4 linked regions of the Canis lupus familiaris genome follow. The protein of the gene in region 1 binds, or shares a complex with, the protein of each later gene. Links are inferred from orthologs where the notes say so. Each region holds a gene or a part of one and is shown in the gene's direction. Other genes may lie near its edges.

What was found.
Region 2: STAC3 (region 1) and CACNB2 share a complex: the UniProt entries of both Homo sapiens proteins name them as parts of the calcium channel complex. The link is inferred for Canis lupus familiaris from reciprocal best matches to the Homo sapiens genes STAC3 and CACNB2.
Region 3: STAC3 (region 1) and CACNB1 share a complex: the UniProt entries of both Homo sapiens proteins name them as parts of the calcium channel complex. The link is inferred for Canis lupus familiaris from reciprocal best matches to the Homo sapiens genes STAC3 and CACNB1.
Region 4: STAC3 (region 1) and CACNG1 share a complex: the UniProt entries of both Homo sapiens proteins name them as parts of the calcium channel complex. The link is inferred for Canis lupus familiaris from reciprocal best matches to the Homo sapiens genes STAC3 and CACNG1.

Annotation. Positions count from the first base shown.
Region 1 is NC_049231.1:1,726,885-1,734,449, reverse strand, and holds the start of STAC3 (SH3 and cysteine-rich domain-containing protein 3), read left to right. Parts: upstream 1-2,776; 5' UTR 2,777-2,957; intron 2,958-3,583; exon of another isoform or gene 3,584-3,658; 5' UTR 3,659-3,659; coding exon 3,660-3,725; intron 3,726-3,998; coding exon 3,999-4,263; intron 4,264-5,178; coding exon 5,179-5,276; intron 5,277-5,491; coding exon 5,492-5,564; intron 5,565-6,007; exon of another isoform or gene 6,008-6,222; intron 6,223-6,465; coding exon 6,466-6,563; intron 6,564-7,565. Other genes in the region: R3HDM2 (R3H domain-containing protein 2), read left to right, coding at 1-58, 1,755-1,877. UniProt on the Homo sapiens protein: Required for normal excitation-contraction coupling in skeletal muscle and for normal muscle contraction in response to membrane depolarization. Required for normal Ca(2+) release from the sarcplasmic reticulum, which ultimately leads to muscle contraction.
Region 2 is NC_049223.1:17,482,158-17,488,956, reverse strand, and holds the end of CACNB2 (voltage-dependent L-type calcium channel subunit beta-2), read left to right. Parts: intron 1-83; coding exon 84-179; intron 180-1,212; coding exon 1,213-1,398; intron 1,399-2,285; coding exon 2,286-2,774; 3' UTR 2,775-5,677; downstream 5,678-6,799. UniProt on the Homo sapiens protein: Beta subunit of voltage-dependent calcium channels which contributes to the function of the calcium channel by increasing peak calcium current. Plays a role in shifting voltage dependencies of activation and inactivation of the channel.
Region 3 is NC_049230.1:23,127,872-23,135,241, forward strand, and holds the start of CACNB1 (voltage-dependent L-type calcium channel subunit beta-1), read left to right. Parts: upstream 1-2,861; 5' UTR 2,862-3,044; coding exon 3,045-3,128; intron 3,129-5,593; coding exon 5,594-5,680; intron 5,681-6,929; exon of another isoform or gene 6,930-7,027; coding exon of another isoform or gene 7,028-7,057; intron 7,058-7,370. Other genes in the region: RPL19 (60S ribosomal protein L19), read right to left, coding at 9-13. UniProt on the Homo sapiens protein: Regulatory subunit of L-type calcium channels. Regulates the activity of L-type calcium channels that contain CACNA1A as pore-forming subunit.
Region 4 is NC_049230.1:13,484,054-13,491,401, forward strand, and holds the start of CACNG1 (voltage-dependent calcium channel gamma-1 subunit), read left to right. Parts: upstream 1-2,925; 5' UTR 2,926-3,091; coding exon 3,092-3,326; intron 3,327-7,348. UniProt on the Homo sapiens protein: Regulatory subunit of the voltage-gated calcium channel that gives rise to L-type calcium currents in skeletal muscle. Regulates channel inactivation kinetics.

The DNA of each region.
Region 1 (7,565 bases):
GGCTGTGTTTCCCAGCCCCCTGGCTGCCCAGAATGCCTCCCTTCGCCTCAACAACTCTGTGAGTCGCTTCAAACTTCGAGTGGCCAAAAAGAACTATGACCTGAGGATCCTGGAGCGAGCCAGCTCCCAATAAACGGAGGAGGGGAAGGGTCCGGCACAGTAGGGGTGGAAGCAGGGTGGAGGGGATCGAGGGATCCTGACAGACCATGGACAGAGGCAGAAAGGAAGGTGACAGACACTGAACTGGAGCCTGAGACAGTGGGGATGAAGACGGAACAGACACACTGGCACTGGACTCCTTCTCGCCCCCCCCCCTGCCATGGGTCCCCTCATTTTCCCTGGTTGGCCCCCCCTTGCTTCCCTCTCCTTCCCATCCTCTTCTGTCATTTTTTATCTCTTCTCCCACCATGAAATTAATTTTTTTCATATTTTTGGTCAGATAGAATTGGGAGGGTCCCACACTCCCCTATTCAATCCCCTTACCATCCCAAGCTCCCTTTTCATTTCTGGTCTTTATGAATATATTTATATGGACAGAATTAAGAAAAGCAAAATTGATTTCCCCTTTCTCTCACTTCCCCCATCTTGTCTCCCCAAACCCCAAAGAGTTAATACTTGGGCCTCCCCCCCCACCTCCCAGAACACTTGTATATTGTTTGTTTGAGGTTCGTGCCGCAGTAACAGACAGTATTTAATTGCACATACAGATGTTTGCTGGGTATATTCACTGTAAATTTTATTTAATCTGATTTTTTGTTTGTTTGGGGGGTTATTTGGGGGGAGGTTGACTTTGTTTTTAAATATAAAAAAAAAATCTGTCACTGGACGTCAGTCCCTGTTTCTCTGTTGCTGCCCTGGTGTGGGTGGGGGTTGGAGGTCCTGGGTAGGTACAATCCCACAGCTATTGGAGGGGTTTCACGTAGGATGGCTTTCCCTAGCCTATGCACACATATCTTCCTAACACTGTTCCATGCATCCCACCCCGGTCCTTGTACATAATGTTCTGACAGATGGCTGGGTCTCTAATGGGACCTTTGTTCTGGGCTCTCCTAACTCTCCAAGTGTGGTTTCATCAGACACATCACTTCTCAACTCCAGACCTCTGAGTCCTTATTAGTAAAATAAGAGACTTGGACTCACTGGCCTACCTCTGAGGTTCCTTCCATTTTGTTAATTCTGTGAATACTCCTTTAGGGTCCCTTGTGGCTGAGCTGGGAGGGGTGAGCGAGGTCCAGAACTGGGTTGAGATGGTGGCCTTATATGTGTCCAGAATCTGATCTTCTGAAAACTCTTCAGGGATGGAGGACTTGGGTCCTTCTTTAATACAAAAGCCATTGGGTTCTGCATGGTAGGACAGAAGTGGATGTTTCTTACAATAAAAGCTATGTCAGTTGAACTTGCAGTGCCGAGATCCCATATTATCCAGGTATACTCAGCAGTCCCTGTCCTATGCAACTGAAGAAAGGTGAAAAGCAGACGTTACCCACCCCATATGGATGGAGCTTTTCCTCTCGCTGAGGCTTCTCAAAGCTAGCCCTGTTGTTGTGCAGCCTGTCAGACCAAAGCCATTAAGAGCCATCCCGCAGGCCCTGCTCGATCTCACCCACCCCTTAAAGAAAGAAAAAAGAGCAGTGACAGAAATGACAAAGCACATTACCCTGGAAATCTCTTGGGTGTGGGTAGCAGTATCTCTAGCCAGGCTCCTCTGAGGCTTGTCTGACCCAGCCTCCAACATAATCCTTTACTTCTTACAGATACAAGGGATAAAGCAGCACTACATGACCACATCCAAATGGCTGTCCTCCGAGATGGGAGTATCTTCTCTTTCAGCCATGTCACAGCCCAGAGTAGGAGAAGGCTGCATCCCTGCGAGATAAGATGCCAGATATCTCATTGACCCATAAGTTCATATACTGGGGCATCAGATGAGGGAGATGGAATCAGGGAATCAAAATGATTTCGAAGTGTGGGGCTCAGCTATCCTATCTCCAAAAGTTTGCAATCCTCATGGGGAAGCAGACGTTACTTACTGAAGATAAAACCCGCCCTGTGTGGTAGCTATGGCCTTCTGTCCAGTCTGAACAAGACCATCTCTACCTACCTGACCATCAGACCCGCAATCCCCCAGAGCCCCTCAGATGGAAGTCCCAGCCTGGATTTTTTCAGTAGTTCTTAGATTTCCCTTCACCCTGAGGACAAGATTTTAGAATGGAGGGAAGATGTTCCTGGGGTACTGGAGGGAATAAAGCAGTACTATGCATGTTCCTCACTACCTTTCAGGACGGAGCAGGGTACCCCTCCCACCACTATTGGATAAGGATGCAGTCTAGTCTGGCTGATAGGAAACCTCTGAGAATTCAAATTCTTTCCTTCCTAAAGGTTTGAAGCTAGATGAGTGCTTGAGGGTGTAAAAACACATGGCCACAAGAAGCCAATGGCTGAAAAATCAAAAGCTAGTTTCTAAAGTAGGTCCAGGGAAGGTAGAATTGGAGATGTATTTGGACCTTGGGGAAAACTGTTTACAATTTCATCTTTATCTTCAGTCATCCAAAATCACCTAAATGAAGTATGCAACATGAACAGACACTGTCCCTTCTTAAATTTAGCCAAAACTGACCTGTACACCATAGATAAAAAAAACCAGGGCATAGCAGCTCTGGGGGATGGGAGGAGTTAGGGTCCAGCCCAGCCCAGGCCTCCCCGTGTCCAATTTCTCTGTGTCAGCTGTGTCGCTCAGCTGTCCACTTTCCTCCAGCCCTGTCATTTCAGCTGTGACACCAAGGCGAGAGACTAGGAGGTCTACAAATAACGTCTGGGTAGCCGGTGTGAGTACAGAGGGTACTGGGGGGGCTTAGCCCCCAAGGAAGAGGACCAGTCCTCCCCCAGCACCACCATCAAGACCCCAGGGGCTCCCTCTTCCCTCCACAGACTGTGGGCTGACTTAGGGAATCCCAAACGTAAGTTGCCTCTTCGTCCTCTGTCCATTGCCAGAACTGCTCCCTGCAGCTTCCCCAATCTGTAGCCTATTCAATGTCTTCGTTTCTCTCTTGCTTGTGAGTAGTTGGGGTTTTAGGAGTGAAATTATTATTCCAGGACAAGAGCTAGGATTGGAGGGTGGGGTGGAGGTGGGGTCAAGGGAATGGAGTAGTAAGGGAAAGAAAGGCTCATATTACTCTGAAAACTTAAAATAGCTGAGGACAGGCAGGCTGGGAACTAGGCCCTGGGCCCCCGGGACTCAAGAAAGGGGTATGGGTGAACAGATGTTCCCAGCCCATCCCTCCAAGCATGCTTCTGGACACATTAAACCTCTTGAAGAAAAGGGATCTGGGAAGGTGTGTGTCACATCCCTCTTGCCCACAAATTCCCAGGAGAAACCAGGAAAATCTCTAAGCCATGCAGCTTTGAACAGTGTTGGGGCTGTCAACTTGGGTTGCCCCTCAGTGGGGAAGGATGGATATCAGGAGCTGGTTGGGAAGTTCTTTAGTCGGCTGTGCTTTTCCCTGGACCTCCATGGAATCTGTCGATAAGCCTATGTAAAAGGATTTCTGTTTAAGCAAATTTCTCCTAAAATCTCCCTTTCAAGAACCACCCTACAGTGAAGGACAGGAAGAACAGCAGTCAGGGATTAGATTTCATAGTGGGGTCCAACCTCTTGCAGGATGACAGAAAAGGAGGTGCTGGAGTCCTCTAAGCCCTCCTTCCCAGCAGAGACTCGGCAAAGTGGGGTGAGTCTGGGCCTGTGACCACTGGGTATGGGGAGCTGGGAAGCCACTGCGGCCCTTCAAGAATGCTTGAATTAATCTCACTTGTATGTGACTGATCCGTTGTCAGAATGCTAGCCAGCACCTGCATCCCCCAATACCTCCTAATCCTGGGGTGTGCCCCTTGCCCACACTGGAAAAATGTGTAGTTAGTAGTCAGCCTTACCTGCTCTGGAGAGCATGACAGATCTTTTAACTTTGGGTTTCCTCCCTTCCCCCATCCCCTTCCACCCTCAGCTACAGCGGCTGAAGCAGTTATTCAGGAAGGAGTCTCCCGGGACAAAGGAGATGGAGCTTCCCCCAGAGCCCCAGGCCAATGGGGAGGCAGTGGGAGCTGGGGGTGGGCCCATCTACTACATCTATGAGGAAGAGGAGGAGGAAGAAGAGGAGGAAGAGCCACCCCCAGAACCTCCTAAGCTTGTCAATGATAAGCCTCACAAATTCAAAGATCATTTCTTCAAGAAGCCCAAGTTCTGTGATGTCTGTGCCCGGATGATTGTGCGTGAGTCACGAAGGGAAGTAGAGAGAGTGTAATGTTGAAGGCAGGAGGTGGGGGAATGGGCTCAGGAGAGGCGCATTTGTATAGCAGGCAGACTGGAGCAAGAGGCAGCTTTAAGAAAACGCTAGCAGAGGGGCACCCGGGTGGCTCAGGGGTGGCTTAGCCATGGCTCAGCCGGCTAAGCTAAGCGTCCAACTCTTGATTTCAGCTCCGATCATGATCTCAGGTCTTGAGGGGGAGAGTCCCTCTCCCTCTGCTCCTCCCTCTCTTGCGTGCGCGCTCTCTCTCTGTCAAATAAAAAAGTAATCTTTAAAAAATCAACACCAGGGATCCCTGGGTGGCGCAGCGGTTTAGCGCCTGCCTTTGGCCCAGGGCGCGATCCTGGAGACCCGGGATCGAATCCCACGTCGGGCTCCCGGTGCATGGAGCCTGCTTCTCCCTCTGCCTATGTCTCTGCCTCTCTCTCTCTCTCTCTGTGACTATCATAAATAAATAAAAAAAAATTAAAAAAAAAAATAAAAAATCAACACCAAAAAAATAAAATAAAAATAAAAATAAAAAATCAACACCATTAGAAAGAGAGTGTGGGACCCCCTGGGTGGCTTAGCAGTTGAGCATCTGTCTGCCTTTGGCTCAGGCATGATCCTGGAGTCTCCAGATTGAGTCCCACAGGGGGCTTACTACATGGAGCCTGCTTTTCCCTCTCCCTCCCCCTCTCCCTCTGTCTCTGTCTCTGCCTCTCTCTCTCTCTCTCTCTCTCTCTGTCTCTCATGAATAAATAAATATTTAAAAAGAAACAAAAAAACCCGAGAATGTGGTCCTAGACCAAAAAGGGACCTGAGAGCTAGAGTAGCAGCACTGGTACAAAAAGGAAGGGGCAATGGAGAACTTGACCCAAATGTTCTTGCTTTTCCCAAGTCAACAACAAATTTGGGCTTCGCTGTAAGAACTGCAAAACTAACATCCACGAGCACTGTCAGTCCTATGTGGAGATGCAGAGATGCTTCGGCAAGATCGTGAGTAGGCTCTGGGGAGCGAGAAGGAAGGGAGGGGACGTGTTGCCAGCTCCCCCCTTGCAGTCCCTCCGTCCCTCCCAAGTCGTCATATCCATTTCCCTGCTTTTTCTTTCTCAGCCCATCTCTTACCCCAAGAAGGGGTTTACTCATGGGAGAGATGGGGTTCTGGGCCATAGCTTGCTGTCTCTAATGCTTTCTCCCATCCCACCCTACAGCCCCCTGGTTTCCACCGGGCCTATAGCTCCCCACTCTACAGCAACCAGCAGTACGCTTGTGTCAAAGATCTCTGTAAGTGCTCCATGTGGGACCCGAGGGAAAGGGCAAGCCTAGAGATGGTTCCAGCACCACCTCTAGATCTGGAAGCCAAATTCTGAAACAGAAAGATTCTATTTCCCATGGTTCTTGCTCAACCTACCATCTTGAATACAGAGTCAGTATTCCTGTTTTATAGCTGAGGGAAGATAAGATTTAGCGAGGGCTCCACACCACTAGCAGGAGACAAAGCCAAGACTGAAACCTTCATCTGCCTAGCTTCAAACTCTGGGCTCTTCATATGTAAAACTATGTCTAAGTAAGAACAAGGATTCTTGACTGTCCTCATCCTTGTGACAGAGTAATACCAGTCTCAGGGCTAGACCAAGAGCTGTGGGCATCCTGGGCAGATTCATAATTTGGCAACCCTTACAAACATATTCGTTGACAATTTTACTCAACATTTATTTGGAGGAGAGGCTGATCTTTATGAGGAGCATGGGTGGAAAAAAGAAGAACCCACTGGTGGCAGCACTCCAGCTTGCACATGCCACTCAGCAGAAAAGCCAGCAGTTAAAGGACCACTCTCCTTAAAAGGAGAATAGTGATTGTGAGCATTCCCCAACTCCCAAGCAACTTATTAGCAAAGTTGTCTTTCCAACATCATATAATGCTCTGCCTGGAAGGAGTGCTGGTAAGTATTTTTCTCCATCACATTACATTCCCAGTGATGTTTTTATAGCTCTTTATAGATTGATGACCTAGATATGCCCAGCTGACCCCACCCTAATCCTACACACACACACACACACACACACACACACACACGTATCCGTCTACTTAATCCCACCTCTCCCTTACTTAGAAGGTCTCTCTTTCCTTCAAGTCTTTCTCTGCTTCCCCAGTAATGGCTTCTTTCTTCTCCCATTCCCACTAGCTGCGGCCAGTCACAATGATCCTGTGTTTGAAACCTTGCGCACTGGGGTGATCATGGCAAACAAGGAACGGAAGAAAGGACAGGCAGATAAGAAAAATGTGAGCACCATACCTTCCTCTTGAGGTCCCTCCAAGAGATTCCGCAGAGCAGGTCCTGTCTCCTCTCTGGAAAGCTGACAGAAGCTAGGGATTCTCTTCCCCTAAAATTGCACATAACCCAACAAATTTTTGCATGCAATTTTAGAGAGCCTTGGGTTGAGAATTCCTGCCATAGCATGTGTTTTCTCTAGAAACTCCCTTCTGGAATTGTCAGATTAAGCACCATAACCTACTGAAGGTTAGGTCCCCAGGCTCCTGGCATTGCTAGACAACAGAGGCAAGAGCCATGCTTTTGGATTTGGGGAAGCAAACCTATCATGCCAAGCAATCAATTCTAGAGCCATGAAGGGTCCATGAATATCATCTGAACTTACTCACTTATCCTATAGATGAGGAAACTGAAGCATTAGGCTAGCACCCAAAAGCAACTTCATTTCCTTTCGTAATAGGGTTACTAGTTTGGTGATGCCATAGACTTGCATTCAGTTTGGCAAAGAATTTGTTAGCATATCCTTATATCTTTCTGGAAAACCAGGATGGACTGATGTGGATAACAGTTAGTTGGAGTCCTAAAATTGGATGAATGACTATGCCCAAAGAATCCAGGTCCTTTAGAGAGTGCCTAGCTAAAGGGAGATTTCTGATACCTTATAACATGAGTTGGTCCTCAGTACTGATCTATAGAGATTTTTCTCATTGATACAAATGAATATATAAATAGTATTATCCCTTAAGTCTGTGAGAAACCTAGGAGGGGAAACTTATACACTGAATAGTATATTCAAATATTTTGAGACTAGAAGAAAAGCTCAAAAACAATAATTTGAAGTTTTGTAAGGAAAATGAACATGTCTGCTCTTGGATCAAAGAAATCAACTGTACAAAAACTGTAGGAATTGGCTTCTGAGTAGTTGATATGGAAGTTGGGTACAAATTAGCGATTTCTGTAGAATGAACTAAGACTTACAAGGCCCTAGCAATGTGATTTGACTGCTTTCAGAA
Region 2 (6,799 bases), on another chromosome or scaffold:
TGTAAAAAGGCCCTAGAGTAAATAACAAAACTTGTTCTTTACCTGAGTGCAGATACTCTTCTGTTAAATCTTATCTTTCACAGGTTTTACAAAGGTTAATAAAATCTCGAGGGAAATCTCAAGCTAAACACCTCAATGTCCAGATGGTAGCAGCTGATAAACTGGCTCAGTGTCCTCCAGTAAGTTATCTCTATATACAGTATAATCCACTTGAAGACCTCAGAAAGATTTCTATATTTAGAAAGCAAGCAAACAAAAACCAGACAGGTAAACAGTGTCAGGGGAGAAAATTATCTCCATTTAGCCATGGTCTTCATTTTTAAGAAGTGAACTGTCCCTACTTCCTCCCATGAGCACTTGTCTAGATGATGGCTTACAAAAAGCTACAATGCATTCAGTGGTGACCTCACTTTGTTAATATCTAATTAGTATCCTAAGTGGAACGTGATTTTAAAAATTTGGTTTAAAAAATGGATCTGTTTGGGACTTATTATTCACTTCTAATAATAGAGAGCAAGTTGCCAGCTCTTAATGACTGAGAAATTGTTTAGAAATGTGTTTTTACATAGCCTCAAATAAATTAGTTACATGGCTTCTGGCACCTAAACACCTTCCTTTTCCTAATCCCTGCTCTAAATATCATGCTTCGGGACGAGAGATCACCTCTAGGTTTTTGTTTTGTTTTGACATGCAGGTATATCAGAAGCTAGAATTATGATTATATTTTTTATTGTCTGGAATATTTTGAAGTTTGGGCCCTGTCAAATCATCAGTGGTTTCAGCTTTCTTCTGCCAAATTTCATGTCCTACTCTTGCCTAAAGTAAGAGTAGGACAAAATTTCCAAAATGAAGTTTTTCATAATCTCGAGGTCAAAACCAGACCTCTTCCTATACTGTTCAGATTATATTTTTATTTTATTTTTTTACCTCTCTTTTCTATCATGTCCTAACCAACTATCCTTACACCTTTCACTTTCTGGTCATTGCTATTGGTTAAGCATCTAGGGTTGTGAATGATAATCTGAGGAGGTAGCTGTACAGACACAATCTGACTCAACAGGACATTTCAGCCAGTTTGTAAAGGAGAAAGCAGGTACACACAAGCAAATATAAAGTGGTGCAGCTCATGAGCCACTTCCCTTTGAGTGTGTGTGCCACTCACTCAATGCTGGACTGCTAGAAGTGTATCATCTGAAATATTTGCCTGTGCAGGAGCTGTTTGATGTGATCCTGGACGAGAACCAGCTCGAGGATGCTTGTGAGCACCTTGCCGACTATCTGGAGGCCTACTGGAAGGCTACCCACCCTCCCAGCAGCCATCTCCCCAACCCTCTCCTTAGCCGTACTTTAGCCACTTCAACTCTGCCCAGTAGCCCCACTCAAGCCTCTAATTCACAGGTAAGAGGGACTCTTTTCGTAAGAAAATGCTCTAGAAACTAGGCTGCCTTAGGTCACGTGGCTGGGATCCAAGCCCAGTTACCCAGCACAGCGTGTGTTCCAGTAGAGCAGCTCCATCCACACTGAGACAAACATTGAGTCATTTACTATCTTTAGTGTGAGTTGTGTACCCATAAGAACTATGTCAACAATATACTCAAACATATATAAAGTTTAAAAATCCCTAGCTACATGTTCTGTAGGACAAGGCTAGCTTTTTCTACATTGCCAGCAGCACAACCATGGAATCAGACTGCCTTGGTCCAAATCCACTCTACCTCTTAGTGAGTGGGTCAGGTTGGAGAAGCTCCTTACCTGCCCCTTGCCTCAGGAAGACAAATGGCAACCTGTCTCATAGGGCTGCTGCATTATTCATTTGATACAGAAGATTGTCATAAGACAGTACTTTCCTCATGCTGAGTGGTATGTAAGCATGTGGCATGTTATTTCTTCTCCTTAATCCTTAAGCCAAAGCCAACATCTTAAGCAATTTTAATCTTCCCACTTGTATACAAGTAGAGGTAGTGAAATGTACACTTGTGTGTTGAGAAATCTTAGGGACCTCTGTATCTGAGCCCCAGGAGAAGATATAAAATGATGCCCCCCCTCATTTAGTCATCAAGGGGGAACAAAAAGTTACTCTGTACACTATTGTAGGCACTTACAAATCAAAGTCTCATATGTTATAGTACAAACCTTGTAAATGCCACCCAATGTTAACAAAAGAAGTAACTGAGCTAGGTTAGATTCATTTTAGAAACTCACAAGGGCATCAACATGAATGGACGGACCTGTTTTTGCGACATCTGACCTTGGCTGATGCCTGTGCTTGCTCCCTTCCCCACCAGGGTTCTCAAGATCAGAGGACTGAGCGCTCTGCTCCTGCCCGGTCTGTGTCCCAAGCTGAAGAAGAAGCCTGTCCGGAACCCGTCAAGAAAACCCAGCACCGTTCCTCCTCTGCCCAGCACCACGGCCATCGCAGTGGGACGAGTCGAGGCCTCTCCAGGCAGGAGACGTTTGACTCAGAGACCCAGGAGAGTCGAGACTCTGCCTATGTGGAGCCGAAGGAAGATTACTCCCACGAACACGTGGACCACTATGCCCCCCACCGTGACCATAACCACAGAGATGAGCCCCACGGGAGCAGTGAGCACAGACACAGGGAGTCTCGGCACCGGTCCAGGGACCTGGATCGAGAGCAGGACCACAACGAGTGCAACAAACAACGCAGCCGGCATAAATCCAAGGATCGCTATTGTGACAAGGATGGGGAAGGCATCTCCAAAAAGCGGAACGAGGCTGGGGAATGGAACAGGGATGTTTATATCCGCCAGTGACTTTTGCCCTTTTGTGTTTCTTTTCTTTTTTTTTTTTAAGTCTTGTATACCACCACCCTCAGACTCCATCTTTGGGGTCTACGTTGCAGTCATATGTGATCTGTCTTGTACACTTTGTATTGCTGTTGCTTGAATAGCAATAGCATGATAGAGTATTAATATACTTTTTTTTCTTTTGTAAGTGCTATATAAATTCGCCTGGTATGGCTGCAGTCCTCCGGTTGTATACTGGACTTTTCAAAAACTGTTTGGGATAGCTGCCACTTGAACAAAATCTGTTGCCATCCAGGTGGCATTAGTATTTTAAGAAACATAGTTGATGTTTTCAAAACTGTAGTTGATGTATCCAGCAAGCCACAATTGGCCCAGATAAAAAGTGGAATTTCTTGATTCTCCAGATTTTTAATATGTAGGCACCTAATTTGCATATTCATTTATCCATGGACCACTGTTTCTTGCTTGTACCTCTGGCTGACTAAATTTGGGGACAGATTCAGTCTTGCCTTACACAAAGGGGATCATAAAGTTAGAATCTATTTTCTATGTACTAGTACTGTGTACTGTATAGTTTGTAAATGTTATTTCTGCAAACACCTTCTTATGATTATATATATAATATATATATATACATATATATATATCAGTTGGATCACACTATTTTAGAGTCTTAATGCCAAGTCAGCAGATTTGCTTTATGAATTACAGGGACTAGAAATGCCCACCTTCAGGAAATTTGTAATATTGTCTAGACACCTTTCCCCATTCTAGTAGAAAGTCTGTACATACTGTAAATATGTGATTGCCTGACTTGAAAAGGTTTGATTTCTGAATGTTTTACCATCCTTGTAAGTTTATAATTTTGACCATAAATTATGGTAAATATAACCAAACTCCAAAGGTTGTTCTAATCCATGCAGTTCACACTGATTGTGACAAACACATTCTTATTAGTAGCTAGTGTCTTATGTCACTGCACTGGAGTATATGAGCCGGACCTCTGTGTGCAAGTGTGTCTGTGTGTAAGAGTGTGTAAGAGTGTGCACGAGTGACTGGGTTGGAGCTGAGTGCTGAAGACTCAAGACTAATACCTAGAATTCTACCCACATGGTTTTGTATTTAATTGTGCTACGTGTTGCTTTGAGAATCCATTGAGCAGTCAGGTATTGTGAGGAAGCTTGCTGCCAAAGGTGACTAGGAAAGCATTTATCTGCTGGCTCCTTGTTCTTGCTCCTAGAGAGTAAAAATACAAGCAACTTTTAACTGTGAGTGTTTCACTGGAAATGTACAATCTTTGTGTGTTTGAGTATTTGTTTTAGTAAGAAATGTTTACACAGCTTGTAGAATTATTTCGTGGGAAAATAAATTTTTCTAACTCCCCCCACCTCCTTTTCTACCCTTGCCTATCGTTCCTGTTGTTTATCTCCCTGAAATTTCCCCTTCATTCCTTCCCTGCCACCAACTCCCAACAGTTTCGCTGTCCGTCAAAACCTAGAAGTGCTTCTTATAACCAAAGTTTCTGCTCTTCAGAAGTAATCAGGGCAAAATGAGGTGACTTGAAGTGAACAAAACGTTAAGAATATCTTCCTCCATTAGACATCGACTCTGAAGGGGAACCCAGAAGATCCTATTCTCCATGCCTCAATGATATAGCGCTGTAAGCAGCTCACAGTGTGGTTGTCACGCTAAGGCTGAAACCTTCTGTGTCGTTTCTGTGTACACTTTTGTCCAGTTATGCCTGGACAGGTAAGACAGTATTAGGTGTGCAGGTACCTAGCACCTAGAGCTTGGCCCTGAAAAATGCCTATCTATAATTGCCTAACTTCCGACTGTACATTATGAAATGATTATTTTGTTAAATAAGTTAATCTATTTTTGTTTTGCTTCTTTGATTATTCCAGGTTCTTGCCAAATATTCTGGGACCTTTCTAAGTGAAGTTGTTTCACGTTGAACTCCTTATTTCCCTTCCCCTTCAACAAAACTCAGTTTTAAAAATGAGTTATATTACCTGATAAAACCCTTTCAATGTAAGAAACATTTTCCTCAGAATTAATCTTTTTGTTAATTAGCTCTGAACTGTTGACAAATTTATTTATTGAATATAAAAATGGTAGTCATAATATATACATTTTTTATGTAAACTATTCATATCATTGGGAAACCATATTCCAGGTAGTTACTTGTATAAAATATTTCTGAAACTTTCATCCCGTTTAATGACTTTGGGATATTTAGAACTCTTGAAGTATAACTGGTATTTATCTTACTTGCTGCTACCACTTATCCCTTTCAAAGAGTCATGCTAACAGATTCCAGTTTTAAAACTTCATACCTGGATTCTTAATTTTTCACTTTACTGTGAAACATACTAGTCCAAATCAGAGTATTCCTCAAAGAACTATATTGCAGGATTTGACATGAGCATCTATATGTGAAAACTGTATAGCAGGCATATGTGTAAATGTGTGTACTCAATTTGTAAATGCAGAAATAATCCCAAGGGCAATGGGAGATTTTACTGACTTGTGGAATGTAAAATTAGTCTTTTCACTCAGCAAAGGCTTAACCTTAACCTACTCAGTTGTAGAATCATGATCTTTGTAGTCAACCTAGAAAATGCTGGAAATGGAAATGTTTTTGATAGTTCTGTGTTTTATTGTCAACCCCATTTCAGTTTTTCCTATGCTCTTTCTCTCCTGCTCATTTAAGTTACTGTTACAAAAAGGTGCTGCTAAATGTAGGATGTCTTAGTCATATTGTACTTTGGGACAATGCCACATTTTTAACATGGTCTGCTGTGCATTCCTGTTAAACATTCACTGTCAGTGACACTGAACTGTTCAACAAATCTGGTTTAAATTCATTCATATAAAACAAATAAAGAGCTGGCTTTCTGCACTGTTTATTAGTAGTAGTATTAATTGCAATTTTAGGAATGTTTCTCATAGTTGAGCCTATGTCAGATTTCCAACACCACCTCCCACTGTGGAGGATCTTTCCTAAGGGCAAAGCTAATCATTGATGTTACTTTCGTGAGTAAAATTAAACTGGTAAAATGACAGCTTACCGGAGGTAGAGATCTTTTAAAATAGGAGCACAGCAGAGTCCTCTTTAAGTCTACCTGTGTGGCAATTCTTGATTCAGATTTTTTTTATTCTTCCTTCATTTTTAAAATGAAGATCTATCTTGATGACAAATTTAAATCCTCACCCTTATCGCCCCTTCACTCAGAGCAGTGATACAGTGCTGCCTAGTCGTGGATAATTTCATCCTAGGAATATGTCAAGAGTCACACAGTTAGGGAAGATAGCTAGGTAGATGATGAATTAGAGGATTCCAATTATTCAATTCTGGCTATATTTGTATTTCACTTTATTATTTAAAGTAAAATGTGGTTTTTACTCAGTGTTAAAAGTTTTTTTTTTGTTTCACAGAAATATGTATGTTAACCCCAAATATGTTGAGAGAATATATTTTCCTCCACCTTTCCCAGATTTTTTCCCTCTTCATTTTACTTTTTCTTAAATTTGGGTCCCTTAAAATTGAATGTGTTTATTTTCCAATTTGCCCTATTTTTTGAAGGAAAGAAAACACTGAAAAGGTCTATGTCAAAGCCAACATTTTTAACAATGTTCTTTGTCCTGTTTTTAGTATGCAAATATTTTTCTTTTGTTTTGACTGCATTGCTTGTATTTGATATTTGTCAGCATTAATCAACAGTTTACACATCTACTGCTGGTCTCCCTGTCTACGATTTTCATCCCAGCTGAGCACGTAAGGCTTGGCAGACAGCATGAGAAGACATGGATTTTTTAAAACATAAAGTCTGGAGAAATGTGCTGAGCCCTAGAAACGGATGACACAGGTAAACAGTGCTTCTCTTTAGTCCAATGACATCTGCTGGATAAAAGGCAGAATGAGGGATATAAAGAAGTCAGTCACACAGCTGAATCTGATGTTAGAGCTTAAAATATCTTGTTCCTCATTCAATAGGCATGTATTGATGATCTGCTCTAAAGCAGTGACA
Region 3 (7,370 bases), on another chromosome or scaffold:
GCCCTCACCTCATGGCTGCGGCCGCAGCGCCGAAAGGAAAGAACTCCCCCTGGCCGGGCTCCTCCCACTATCTGCGAGGGGGAGAGCCCATCCCCTGTTCCGCTTGAGCCCCTACTCCCCGCCGGTCCTCTCATCCTCTGACACTCTAAACTCAATCCTATCCTCTGTGAAGACCGAGACAGCAGAATCTAGTTTCGGGAGTCGGTTTTAAACTTAAAAACACAGAAAATGTATCCTTTCGGTGAGGCAAAGTGGTATAGTCCGACTTCCTAATAGGCATGCGCAGCAAGGGGGCCGGTCACGTGGGTACTGGAAGCCGGAAGTCACGGCTGGATGCCGCAGGCGGGACGTAGTTCTGCTAGAGCGGCCTATTTGCAGGCGTTCTGGGTTCTTTGGAATGATGTTTTCTTAGCGAAAAAAAAAAAAAATAGTGGAGTGAGAGAAGATAACGAGGGGAGATATCAGTCAAGAGCAACCTTTTATTCATTCTTCCAGTACATTGGGAAACCCCTGCAGCACAGGATAGATCACCAAAGATATATATATGTACATATGTGTATATATGTATATATGTGTATATATATGTATATATATATATTTTAAAGATTTTACTTGTTCATGAGAGACACACAGAGAGAGAGAGGCAGAGACACAGGCAGAGGGAGAAGCAGGCTCAGTGTGGAGAGCCCAATGTGGAACTCGATCCCAGGACCATGGGATCACGACCTGAGCCACACAGGCGCCCACCAAAGATATTTGTGTTTTTGCGCCACTCTGGTCCTTAATCTTATGGCGATTCAGTTTGTTCCTTTGTAAAGTGTACCTAATCCTCATATTTCTGTAATCCGTCGTGAAAACCACATGTATTAACTTGCAAAAGAGAGCATTAAGACAAGCTTCTAGGTGACAGGAACCAGTCTCGTTGGGCTCACATGGAGCTTTGCATATATAATAAACACTTGAGAAATAGTGCATTGGCCGAGTAAATGAATAGCTGTCAAAGTTAAACAAAACAAAAAGATGGAATGACAGGGTCATCCATAGTTCTTTTCTCCTACTCTGAAACACCCAATGCAAAAACCCAAAGAGAATATTCTAGGGTTCAAGAGACTTAGATCTGAGTTCTGGGTCTAACTCTGCTTGGCTCTAGCTGAGCACCCATCTCTATCATCTGAACTTTCTTGGGGGCTAAATGCAGCTGAGGAAAGAGAGGAAGGGAAGCAAAACTTGCCACTTTTTCAAAACTACAGTTAGTGTGATCCTCATTTTATAGCTGAGAGAGGTGGCAAAAGTTGAAATTCCAGGTCTTTCTGACTTCAATATCTATGACTTCTCTGTCGTACCAAGCTTTCTTGTGCCCAAGGGACAGATCAAAACCCTGCTCAGTATTGGATCTGTTCATAGAACAATGCTGATGTGCTTTATTCTTACTCTCCCTCAATGTGATCAGAGAAACAGCTTAAGCTGCCCATCCATTTGTAGAACCCAGGGTGAGGAAAAGGAGTCAGTGTATCCATCCCACAGTCTCTCCTCTAGCAGGAGGAGACAGGAGGCTGGCCTTTATATTAGGGTCACTGAACCTGGGCAAATCTTCATTTTACTTCTCACCTCCCGTTTGAGGAGCAGGGTAAGGGGTAGGGTAGAGAGATAACAATTCCTCCTGCCATGAGAGACCTCTGCTCAGCACCTTGCAGCATCTCCAAACACCTGAGCAGTCCATCATTTGATTTCATTCTCCCTCATCCCCCTAAGAATCCCAGGTGACAAAGACTACAGTATCGGCAACCCCATTTTATAGGAGTGTAGTGACTTGTCCAGGACCACGTGACCAGAAAGAGCCTGAACCAAATTGACACCAGAGTTCCTTTCTTTCTTTTTTTCTTTTCTTTTTTTTTTTTTTTTTAAAGTTATCTCTGTATCCAGGGTGGGGCTCAAACTCACCACCCTGAGATCAAGAGCCACATGCTCTATGGACTGAGCCAGGCAGGTGCCCCAATACCAGTTTTTGACAGAATGCCCTACTTTTCTCTCCATAGGTTGTGGTGAGTGGAGTCCAGGCTTTGGATATTTGTCCCCAAATTAAGGATGAAGGGGGGGCAGTTCTAGATCAAAAGTCACTAGATCCGATTTTAGCCACTCTTTCATCTCCCACATTTCTTCTTCTTTCTTCTCTCTTCCAAGAAACAGGGACCTTGCCTTCTGGAAGTGCCTGGGGGGGATATGAGGGACAAAGGCAGAAGGACACCTGGGTCCCTGGGATTTCTGGTTGCTGTCTGTGTTGGAACTGCCTTTGGACATTCTCATCACCCCAGCATCAGCGTGAGCTTCAGCCTCCGAAGGCAGCGTCCTGCGGGAGGGAGAGGGGCCTTTCTGTTTGGTTCAAGGCAGCCTGGGCCCACACCGGGGAGAAAGGAGTTAAAGCCGGGTCCCAGGATCAACGGGATTGGGAAGTTCCGGCGGCCCAAACTGGAGTGGAATGGGCCGACCTGTGAAGGGAGAGCGGTTTGGGACGGAACGGGGGGGGGGGGGGGGGGGGGGCAATCCGCGCTTCACCTCCATCAGCGCTCAGCATCCACTGGTAAACCGCAGCCCCCGCCCCCAGCCCCAAGGCCGGGCTTCACTCCCCCCCCACGCCCCGCCGCAGGCGCTCTCGCCCGGGGCCAGTCCGAGGCCCGGCTCACCCCCTTCCAGGGCCGGGAGGGGCGTGCCTCCCTCCGGCCGCCCTCCCATTGTCTGCGCCGAGCGGGCGGAGGGGCTGCGAGGGGCGGGGCCGCGGCGGCGGCGGGAGGGCGGGCGGAGGGCGGGGCAGGTGGGAGCGGAGGGGGCGGGGGAGATGCTGAGCCCTCAGGGGCGGAGGAGGCGGCGGCGGCAGCGGAGGGAGCCGGAGGAGGGACGGGAGGCAGCGAGAGGGCAGCCGGCCGCCGGGCCAGGTGTCTGGAGCGGGCGCCGGCTGCGCTGCGCGGCTCTCGGTCCCGACGGCCTCTCTCATGCGCTGAGGGCGCCCGGCCGGGCCGGGCCGGCGGCGGGAGGAGAGGCTCCTCTCCATGGTCCAGAAGACCAGCATGTCCCGGAGCCCTTACCCGCCCTCCCAGGAGATCCCCATGGAGGTCTTCGACCCCAGCCCGCAGGTGAGGTGTGGCGGCCGGGCCCGAGGGCAGGGGGCCGCTCCCGCGGACCCCGGGGGTCGGCTCGGGGACGCGGGCGAGAAGGAGTTATGCGCCCGGCGGCGAGGGGCGAGGGGCGCCTGCGCACCCCCGGCCCCTGCCGGTTAATGATTGATGGGCGCCTGGCCGGGAGTTGGGCTGCGGTTTCTCGGAGCGGGAGGGGGCGGTCGGGCCGCCTGTCACCACGCCTCGGCTCCCCCGCGGCAGGGTCCTCGCTGCTCGGGGTACCTGCTGCAGGGATTGAGAGTGGGGAATCCGGGGGCTGACGGAGGCTGGAGAGCGAGCTCGGGCAAAGGGGGCGACGCAGAGCACGCTCGGGGGCGCCAGGCGGGGGTGGGTGGGGCGGGGGTGGCCCTGGGAGCTGGCCGAGGCGGGGGTCAGGGCGGTGCCAGCAGGCCTTCGGAGCCGCAGACGCTGGCCTTCGAGGGTGGGGAAGGGGTCGGCCCCGGGCTAGGCCCCCATCCCGGCACCTCAGCTACATCCTGTTGGACCACCTTCCCTCTCCCAACACCCACGTTATCTTTCCCTCTCTCCCCCCCTCCCCTTCCCAGCCTTAGAAAACGCCTCCAAAGTTTGGAAAGTTGGATGGATGCCAACTCACTGTCTTGGAAGGGAGGAGGCTATGTTACCTGGGGTTTGGGGGGAGAGGGTGTCTGCCGCCCCACCCCCAGTCACACTTTTCCTGGAGTTATCCCCAGGAAGGGGCATTCTTGGGTATGGTGCATACCCACGGAGTGACAAGCAGAGTCTGGGGTGACTGGTCAGGGTCTGGGGTGGTCATGTCAAGGGATTTCTCTGGGACAAGGCCATTCTCCAATCTGGCAGCACCCCAAGGCTGGGATACCATTAACTCTTTTCTTGCTGTGACCAGCCTGGAGCAACTGTAACCACCATGATAATGTGGTTGATGAGCTTGGTGTGTGGGGGGGTCAGGTTAGACCTAAAAATACCTCCTTTCTCCACCCCAGGCCCCTTGGAGCCTGGGAGGCAGCTGACTGGGGCCTTCCTTTCAGCTGTCCCTTGTCTCTCTGGGTGCCACTCCCTTTTCCCATCCTGGGGGTGGTGGTGGTGGTGGTGGAGGATCCTTTTAAGTTTGTAGGGATCCTCAATCCTAGAGGTTGGAGATATGTCTGGTTTGAGAGAAGGGGGTGAGAGGGTGGATTTTTGAAGGGTTCCTGGGTACCTTTCTCTCCCATCTATCCATGCTCCTTGTATTCAGGTCTGAGGAACCAGAGTCCCCAGTCTGATCATGTCTTATCTAGCTTCTCTGGCAAAGAAACTCTAGGATTGAGTCTGGGGACAAGAGCGTGGAGGGCCTGAACCCTCATCTCCCACCCCATCTAGCTTCTCTGGCAGAGAAACTCTGGACTGGCCTGGGCCAAGTGTGTATGTGAGTTAGGGAGGGCGAGGAAGCAGTCCCCTTGATAGGTGGCCTGGGAACACCTGAATGTGTGGCTGCTCCAGAGGTCAGGTAGTGTTCACTCCACCCAAGCCAGGAGCCCAGTGTGACTGAGTGGGCCTACCCCAGGGACTTTGAGGGCTGTGTCCTAAGCTTCTCTTGGGGTAGGGCCAAGGGGTGTTATGACTGTTGCAGCTCGGTAGGTACCATGGGCACCAGGCATGCGCAGTGGCAGCTAAGGGTTAGAGAGTGGAAGCTTGATCCTTCTCCCCCTTTGGGGAGAGGTGTGACCACTGTGAGGATGAAGAGGGGGCTGAGAAACAGTCTTGCCAGGGTTGGGGGGCGGGGTGCTGTTAATTCCACCCCTCCCCCATGACACTAGGCTGGGTTGAGGTTAGATGTTTCCTTTCCAAATACAGTTCCATGCCCCCCCCCCCCACAATCCCCTCCCCTGAAATGTAGTTTTGGGTCTCCCAAGAACTGAGAGCTGCCACTCCCCTCCCCACTCTGCGGAAAAATGAAGGCAAGATTCAGGCTCAGGGAAAGCCAAGCTGGGCTCGGGTTGGTGATTCCCCTTCACTCTGGGGGCCACAGGCACACTCAACCCCCCTCTGCTCCAGCTGATGGGGAGAAGGAGGGGTCTTTCCCCAGCTCCCTCTGCCGTCCTCACACTGCAGGCAGCCTCTCCCTTCCCCCGAGGCCTCTGCAGCCTGCCCGGCATCTTAATTAGCTTTGCTGCCTAATGAGCTTCCAGCTTCTCAGCGCCTCCCTGTTCCCAGACTCTCTGGCTTGGTTTGGGGGTTTCATGTGTGTTTCCTAAGACTCTCTCCCACTGTCCCCCACCCCAGGGCTGTGGTCTGGGCCCTTCCTCCCCCTCAGGCTGTACCATCTCTAGAAGAAGATGGGGGGTGGGGCTCTTCGGATCAGGGAATGATATTCCCAAAGCCTGGCTGTAGCTTGGGGCCTGATGGGATGAGGGTTGGGAACGGCCCTTTCTGATTCCACTCTTGTCCCTTTCTGGCCTCTCCAGGGCAAATACAGCAAGAGGAAAGGGCGGTTCAAAAGGTCAGATGGGAGCACGTCCTCGGATACGACATCCAACAGTTTTGTCCGCCAGGTAATGGAGAGGCTGGGCTGAGATGAAGGAGGTGGCTGGTTGGTGGAGACCAGCATTGGTAGCTGAGTCTGAGGCTTTCTCCAGGTACCCTCCCCTGTGTCATTTGCCCCCTGCCTGGAACCATCCCATCACCCTTAGCCCGTGACCTCTCCGGCACATACTGTCAGCCTGCACCCACTCCCTCAGCCCCCGCCCTGCCCCTCCCCCAGCTTCAGGCACCAGCCCCTGCTGCCTGCCTGCCTGCGTCATCTCATTCAGGGACAGCCTGGCCTGCCTCCTCCTAGCTTGCTTCAGGCTGTCACCCACTCCCCCTGCCGGCTGTCTGCTTCCATGTCCTCCCCCAGAACCTGTGACAGCGTGGGGTAGAGGCAGAGCCTAAGAAATGAGGAACCAGGTCCTTTGGGTCCCTGGAGCTTTGGTGAGGTATGGGTCAGGGAAACGCCCTCCTCACGTCCAGCTAACTGTTCTTAAATATGCTGAGAGAAGGTACGCTGGTTGGAGGAGGCCAGGGCAGGAGGGGGTTTTAGAGAGTAGCACCCCCGGCTGAAGGAGGCTGAATAGCTTTCTGGGGTCTTCTTTTCCCAGTCAGGAAGATGCCATTCTTCTCTCTGTTCTTAATGTCAACCCCAGGCCATCTCAGGCTCAGGGAGAGGCAGCCAGAGAGGCATGTGGTTGCTATGACTACAGAGCATCTCAACAAAACCTGGTACCCAAAAAAGGCGAGAGAGGCTTGGGATCAGACAAGGAAAGGGCGGATGCTGAAGAGGAAATGGGTAGGGCATATGAGAGCATAGGGCAGTAGGGAGGTCAGCCCCCCTTGGGCTGGAGAATGAGGGTGGTGCCCGGCAGATCCACGGCAGATTGTGGAGTGAGGCCCTTTTTGATTCTTCTATCTCCACAACACTTGGCATATGTGAGCCCAGGCCTGACTTGAGAGGGTCAGACAAGGGCCCTTCATCCCAGCATCTTCTAAGTACATAGACAGGAAGATCTTTCTTCAGTCTTTTCCTCATCCCTCCTGTTGCAGGGCTGGGCCAGGGCCAGTGCTGGGAGGAATGACGCTGTGCTCCGTGTAACTCCTCTTGACAGGAAAGAGCCTTGGTTCCTCCATTGTTTGCCACCCCAGGGGGTCAGACCCCAGCCTCCAGTCCTTCCTCCTCTCAGTTCTGAGTTCTGACCCCCGTAGGTGGCAGGGAGTGGGGGAGCAGGCCTTGCCACATCTCTGAGCTAAATATACCCTAGCAGTTTGCACATGTAGCAACTCTGCTTGTAACCTGAGCCCCCTGGGGGAACAGGCAGTTTGGGCCACCCCCTAGGCCAGCAGGGCCAGGCACTGAGGGCGCTGTGATGGAGGCGCCCAGCCGGACCCTCGTAGTGGTGAGCTAGGGATGGGGTGGGAGTTGGGGTGGGTGGGAGTAGCCCCAAAGGGAAAGCTGATGGGGGGGCCCTTACTCCAGCCTGTTTCTTTGCCTCCTCACTCTTTCCCTGCTCCTGCCATTTCTGATATGTCCATGTCTGTGCATGTCTGTGTGTATGTGCGCACACGCCTGTGAGTGCGTGCGCCCACGGGTCCGTAAGGATCAGTAAATGCCTCTCCGCCATTCTGTCTCTGGGTCTGTTTCTCTGGCTCTCTGGGCATCTGTCTTCCTGATTTTTAGTGTTCTCGTCAGGAGGAGTGGAGAGTAGTGAA
Region 4 (7,348 bases), on another chromosome or scaffold:
GAGGTCTCAGATCAGGGTGCCAGTACGGTTGGGTTCTGGTAAGAGCCCTCTTCCTGGGCTCACCTCACTGAGTCCTCACGTGGCAGGGAAAAAGAACAAGCTTCTGGTATCTCTCCTCTTAAGCACAGGAGTCCTATCACGAGGGGCCCACCCTCATGACCTCATTCTAACCTAATCACCTCCCAGAGACCTCCCCCCCTCCAAACACCATCACATTGGGGTTTGGGCTTCAACATAATTCTGTCCGTAGCCCCTCGCCCAGGCTAAGCTGGTAAACAGCATTATCTGTGATGCTGGCCAGCACCCCAGCCGGCCAGCACTGCCTTTATTTAGAGACGCAGGAGGGCAGCTTAAGGAGGCCCATGACCTGAGGGAATCCCAGAGGGCAGAGAGGGGCTCTGATGCCCAGGTGGCTGCTCCATCCCTGGCAGGCTGGTTCCCACTCCCAGGACGCCCTCCTTCCCCCTGCCCTGGAAAGGGGAGAGCCCACCCAGCAGGTGCAGATGTCTCCCAGCCCTGGCTCCCAGCAAACGCCAGCTTCCACAGAGCCCCTGCCCTGGCCCAGCAAGGTGCTGGAGAGGTGCACAGGGGGTCTGACAATGGCCTCAATGAGCAAAAAAGGTCTGATTGGAGAAATTTTGCAAACAAGGGGTAGGGGGGGTTGGAGGGTAGGGGTAGGGGGTGATCACCTGCAACCCCCTGCAATCTCCATCATGGCAGATTTACACAAAGACGACTTCAAAGGAAGAGGCCAACCGTCTTTAATGCTCTGCTCACTGGGATGGAGCACTCAGGACTCCCCCACCCCAAGAGAGGTCAGAACAGACCTCATTTCCCCAACTTAGGGCACTTAGTTCATAGCTTCTTGTTTTCCTATCAGATTTTCCACCAACTTTCCTCTCTTCATCCCACTGGCATAAAAACACTCAGATTTAACCCTTCCTCTGGGTCTTTGTTTCCCGTGCCAAGGCTTCCGTGCCATGGAAAACTTACAGGGAATAAGTTTGGATGTGTTTCTCTAGTGATGGGAGCCTACGCTGAGGACTTAGAAGGGCAGAGGAAACGGATACTTTTGCTCCCCGTAGCCACAGTAGATCCTGACCTCTCCTCCCAGCTCCAAGCATTGCTTTAGAGTTCGGGCTCTGGGTTCTGAAGCCTGGCTTCACCATCTATCTCCTTGCTGGGTGACCTCGGACAAGTTGCTTCGTGTGTCTGGGCCTCTGTATCCTTACCTGTAAAACGGACGTAATAGTCACACTCACCTCACGGATTGGTATGAAGCTTAAAGGCAATGGTGTGGAGGGAAGCCTCGGTGGTTCAGTGGTTGAGGGGCTCCTTCAGCTCGGGTTGTGTTCCCGGGGTCCCAGGATGGAGTCCCACATCAGGCTTCCTGCAGGGAGCCTGCTTCTCCCTCTGCTTATGTCTCGGCCCCTCTCTCTGTGTCTCTCATGAATAAATAAAATCTTAAAAAAGGGGCGGGGGGGCAATGATGTGGAAAGGTTTACCACAACACGTGATATACAATAGATACACAAGATGCGCGGTTCCTATGATTATCGTTATTATTAACAGTCTGTGACTCCAAGGCTGGACGCCTGAGTGCTTCTCCGCCCACAGGCAGAGTATTTCTGTGAGCTGTGTCAGCCTGAGGCTGGGATTTTGAAGTCAAAACCCTGCCCAGCTCAGGGGTCTATTCTTGGCCACACACTAGCCTCTTGGATAGACCCTAGAAGAGGCAACTGGTCAATTGATAAAGAAGAGATGCAGAGGGGCGCCTGGGTGGCTCAGTCTGTTAAGCATCTTCCTTCGTCTCAGGTCATGATCTCAGGGTCCTGGGATCGAGTCCTACATCAGGCTCCCTGCGTGGAGCCTGCTTCTCCCTCTGCCTATGTCTCTGCTTCTCTCTTTGTGTCTCTCATGAATAAATAAAATCTTAAAAAGAAAGAGAGAGAGAGATGCAGAACCCAGGAGGGATCCAGGGGCTCGAGCCTGGGGTGGGGGACATACGGGCTCGCAGGACTCTCTGGGGGCCATCCCAAACTGTCCTCTGTCCTCTGCTGTGTCCACACACCATCAGCCTCTTCACAGTTCCCTGCCGACCAACCCACTTCTGTTGTTTTTAACTTAAATATATTTATTTTGTAAATGAAAACAGAACTGGCGAAACGTTAATAGAAGTAAAACTCAAACAGTAAAATAAAAACAGAACGACAGTCAGGTCCAGCTAGATTCCTTGTCCTCTCCAAGCTAGTCTTTGATTCGCAAGCATCAGAAAGGTTAGCTAAAGACTTCCTTTCCTTCTGGACCCAGTTGAAGGGGTGGGAGGAGAATTGAAAAGGAAAAAGCATTCCCACGCCAGGCACAGTGCTGGGTAATGCCAGGCCCAGGAACCACCAGGAATCTTCCCGCAGTTTAGGGTTGTGCTAGGACTTGAGGCTAAAGCCAGGGAGGTGGGCCCCTGGTGGTTCTGGTGGAGGAGCCCCAAGATGTCCCCACGCAGGCTCCTGCATTCCCCAGACCCCCAGGACAAGGACCCACTCACACCCCTTTGCACTGGTGACCGGCCTGCCCAGTGTGGGAGCTGGGCTGTGGTACCTGTGTCCCGCAGGGTCCCCTGCCGTCACCCAGCTGTATCGCCTCCTCCTGCAGCCCAGAGCAAGCACATTCCCACACATCTAGTATCCCTGTGGCCTATCCCTCACTGCCTCCAACTCAGGTATCCTGAGCTGCTAATCGTGGAGATCCCAAGTCACCATCTAGAGCCTTCTCTCCCTGCCCCTCCTTGAGGTATTTTAGGTCTCAGGAGGGAAAGAAAGTCCTGAAACCCGAGGAGAAGCTATCCTCGGTGACACGCCTGGGATGTGCATTAATAGAAGCCTCCCTCAGGCCCCTGACACGTCTGGGCAGCTGCTCAGCCCCGTCTGGTGTCCCTCAGCCCCGAGGCCAGCCCACTCTGGCTCAGCCGGACGCACTAAACTTAGCTTCCACCCCCAGCTCGATAATCACCGCCACCTCCCCAGCCTGGCTGCCACCTGCGCGGGACACACTGCCACCAGACTGTGCCCAGGGCACCCACTCCTCCGCCACCACCATGTCCCAGACCAAAGCGCCGAAGGTCCGCGCGACCCTCTTCTGCATCCTGGTGGGCATCGTGCTGGCCTTGGTGGCCGTGGTGACCGACCACTGGGCCGTGCTGAGCCCCGAGGTGAAGCACCACAATGCCACCTGCGAGGCGGCCCACTTCGGCCTCTGGCGGATTTGCACCAAGCGCATTGTCATGACTGACAGCAAGGACAAGACGTGCGGACCCATCACCCTGCCTGGGGGTAACGTACCCACCCTCTGACCCCATCCCTGCCTCCTGCCCTGCTTCCTGCCCCTGGAAAAGGTGCCGCTGGGAAAGAGGGCAGGTTTCCCTGCCTCAGAGCAGAGATCGTGCCCAGCCTCGGTGCCCAGGGAAGAGGATCCGAACGGCCTCTGTCCTACTGGCCAGGGCCGCTTGTAAAGCCAGGGCGCCTGTCCCTCTTTCTGTCCCGCAGAGGCTCCCGGCCTTCACCCTGAGCAGGGGGCTACCCACCTGGGCCTAACAGGCCTGAGGCCCTGGCCCCCGCAGTGGCCACCCTTCTGGGTGACCCCGCTTTCCTTTCTCCCTGCACAGACAGGTTCAGTGGCCCTAAGTCCTCAGGCTGCAGGGACATGTGCGGCTGGCACGGTCACTCCCCAGGGTCAGCCACCAGATTTGCACAGCATAGCGCAAAATGAAAACGCAGGGCTCTTTGTGAATATTTTTAAGGATTTCGAGATGGTAACAGTGACGCACGGAGCCGAGTGTGGGTCCCTTCTGTGTGCAGGGCCTTGGTTGACCGCAGAAGCCACACATCTGTAAAGCAGGGCCCGGTCGTAGACGAGCCTCCCGCCTTTTGTCAGAACTGTCACACCTGCACATCCTCTCTTAGCTCAGACCCCTCGGAGCTGGGATGCGTGTCCTCCTGCTCTGATTTCAGTGCGTTCCCCAATTTTCCTACCCTGTGACCGAACCGCACATCCGAGGTGAGCTCCTCGTGAAGGATCAGGGTGGTATTAGGGTGACCAGTCTATGCTACAAATGCGGAGCCCTCCACACTCATAGCGAACAGAGCACACGCTGGGGAAAGAGCCCTGCGTGGAGAACCAGAGGACTGGGCTCTGCGTGCATTGCCCACGACACTCCAATGACTCTGGGGTCCACCATGCCCATTGCGGCCTCTGCTTCCCCCTGTAAAATACAGTGTTCGGGCTCTGCAAAGCCCCTTTCAGCCTTTACAAATGGCACCGTAAGGTGACAGTGGGCCAAGGCGAGTACAGGGACCCACCTGCCTTGCAGAATTATTCCCTCTGTTATCAGACTGGGTGTTCCTTGAACCCAGTTCCTTGAACTTTCAAGGAAGTCAGGGCTAAGTCCCCAGAGATCTTGCAGTCTGTGCATGGGACAAAGGAGCCCAAACCCCATTCCTCTACTTCTCCTTTTCCTCCTCTTTTCCCTCCTGCTGGCTCTAGAAAACCCCTGCCTCGCTCATTCCCCCTGGACACACAGAAGACTCGTAAATACCCAGCTGTCTTAGAAACACTGCGTCCCCGGGCCGAGGGCTTTAACAGACGTGGACATGTGCTTGAAGGGTATCACGTAGCTCACATGTCCGCGCTCCTTCAGCCCCGGCCCAGCACAGCCGTAAACAGATGCATCATCCAGCCAATTCCCATGGGTGGGGCAGGGCAGGGGGAGGCAGATTCTCCACGGACCACGCATGGGAGTGCCCTGCCATGGTCCCGTCCACCTGTCCTCAGAGGCACCCACCTTTTAAAGTCTGCTGAGTTTATAGAGCAGATGAGCAAGGAGGCGAGGCAAGTCCATACAAGGAAGGGACAAACTAGCAAGAGGTTAGCTGCACAGGCCCGACAGGCATGGTTTGGTCCTGACCCTGACCAGAGTCTATCTCTACGCCTTCTTGCCCCGCTCCAGAGTGAATCATACCTCCCACGCTTGTGAGCCCAGCCCTACCCTTGACAAGCTTCTGAAGTATGTGCCAGCAATCTCCCCTCTCCTTTCTCTGCAGATGGACACCTTCCCCACCCACCTTTCCTGTGCTCTGTGGGGTTACTTTTTTCTAGAGGGAGGAAGAGAGTGCATACATGTTCTCTCGCTTATTATTAATAGCAGTAATAGGGACCGCAAACACAAATCTGCCAAATATTGTTTTCAGTGCCTCCCATCTTTTAACTTTGAATGACATCAGAAGAAATGGCAGGGTAAGAATCCCCCTAAATGTCTTCTCCATAAAGACAATGAGAACTCTAGCAAAACACGGTCAGAACAAACCTTTTCAGAACCCTGGACACTAACGAATCTTGCAGCAATCCAGTGAGTGCTTATTCAAGAAAAACAGGTGAATCTGAGTCAGAATGGTGAGTTTTGTGGTGCTTTAACTTGCTCTATTTCTGTTCCCCACTCCCCAAGTCTATTAGAGCCTTGAAAACCAATAGCCTGCAAACAGTGTAAATTTAGCCCCCAAAGGGGACAGATGGGGCTGGATCTCATTCAAAGCCTCATTCCCAGAGAACTGTCATTATTTGATCTGCCTGGTGGTTCCCTGGAAGTCCCCACTTGTAAGGTTGTCTTTATTTGACCTGATGCTGAGCTCACTCAGTGGAAACAGTCTTTTTCTCAGGGGGCATTTGGCAAAAACAATTAGAAGCAAATGTTTAATAGCATAATTTCCTGAGGCAGTAGACAACAGTTAGGGCAAACAATAGGCTACCAAAACAGCTAGAGAGTTAGATGTCCATAGGTGGCTTGGAAGAGCTCCAACAAGGATGCCTGGGTGGTTCAGTGGTTGAGCATCTGCCTTCGGCTCAGGGTGTGATCCCAGGATCCTGGGATCAAGTCCCTCATTGGGCTCCCTAGGGGGAGCCTGCTTCACCCTCTCTCTGTGTCTCTGCCTCTCACTGGGTGTCTCTCATGAATAAATAAATAAAATCTTTGAAAAAGAAAAGAAAAGCTCCAACATATTCCTGAGAATTTGGAAGGCCATGTGCATGCACAGCGCTGTATGGTGCACAGGAAAGCCCAAGAAGGCCCTAAGCTCTCACCTCAGGCTGATCTTGAGGCTGTGGGAAAGCAGAAAGCGGCGGCTAAGGCAGAAATGTGGGCTGCTTGGCGGAGTACTTAGCTCTCTGCTTAGCACAGAGCCCCTCAGTAAAGACTAGGAGGTGTATTAGTCCAAGCATTTTACAAAATGTGAGCTGATTACCAAACTAACTGAGCAGAGTTCAGAGGTCACACATAACAAAGAAAACAGACTTTGCAAAATTAATTAGGTCACTAAACAAACCATAATAAACAGTGAGCAAATCCTAGGGAAGGGTGAGACTCTGATTTCCAGAGTTGCTCATTATATTGTTTAAGTATTTCAGCTTTAAATTTAAATTTTAAGTTGAAAAAAATCACAAGACATGTAAAGAGGTAAAACAGTATGGCCCATAAATAAGGAGGATAAAGCCAGTCCATAGATCCTTAAGGAAACCAGATATTGGTCTCAAAGACTATAAATCAGCTATTTTATTTTTTTTAAGATTTGATTTATTTATTCATGAGAGACACACACGCGCACACACACACACACAGAGACAGGCTGAGGGAGAAGCAGTCTCCATGCAGGGAGCCTGACGTGGGACTCGATCCCGGGTCTCCAGGATCACGCCCTGGGCTGAAGGCGGTGCTAAACCAGGCTGCCCTAAATCAGCTATTTTAGATACACTCAAATAACTAGAAAAAAAAAAAAAGTCTAAACAACTAAAGATGAGAATGATGTCTCATGAAATACAAATTATCAATGAAGAGATAGAATTTATTGTAAAAGGACCTAATAGTGTGAGTTCAAGACCCATGTTGCACTCTGCACTGGGCATGGAACCCAGTTGGGGTGTCTGGGTGGTGCAGTTGGTTAAGTGTCCGACTCTTGGTTTTGGCTCAGGTAGTAATCTCAGGGTCATGAGATCAAGCCCCACTTCAGGCTCTGCACTCAGTGCAGAATCTGCTTGAGATTCTCTCTTCCTCTCCCTCTGCCCCTCTTGCTCATGCTCTCTCTCTCTCTCTTAAATAAATAAACAAATCTTTAAAAAGAAAACATACACACACACACAAAAGAAAATAAAGTGCCTAAGAGAAATCCTGGAGTTGAGCACTATAATAATTGAAATGGAAAACTCACTAGAAGGATTAAATAGCAGATCTGTGCAGGTGCAAAAAATAATAATAATAAGTGAACTTGAAGATAGATCAATTGAGATTAACTAATGTGAGGAATAGACA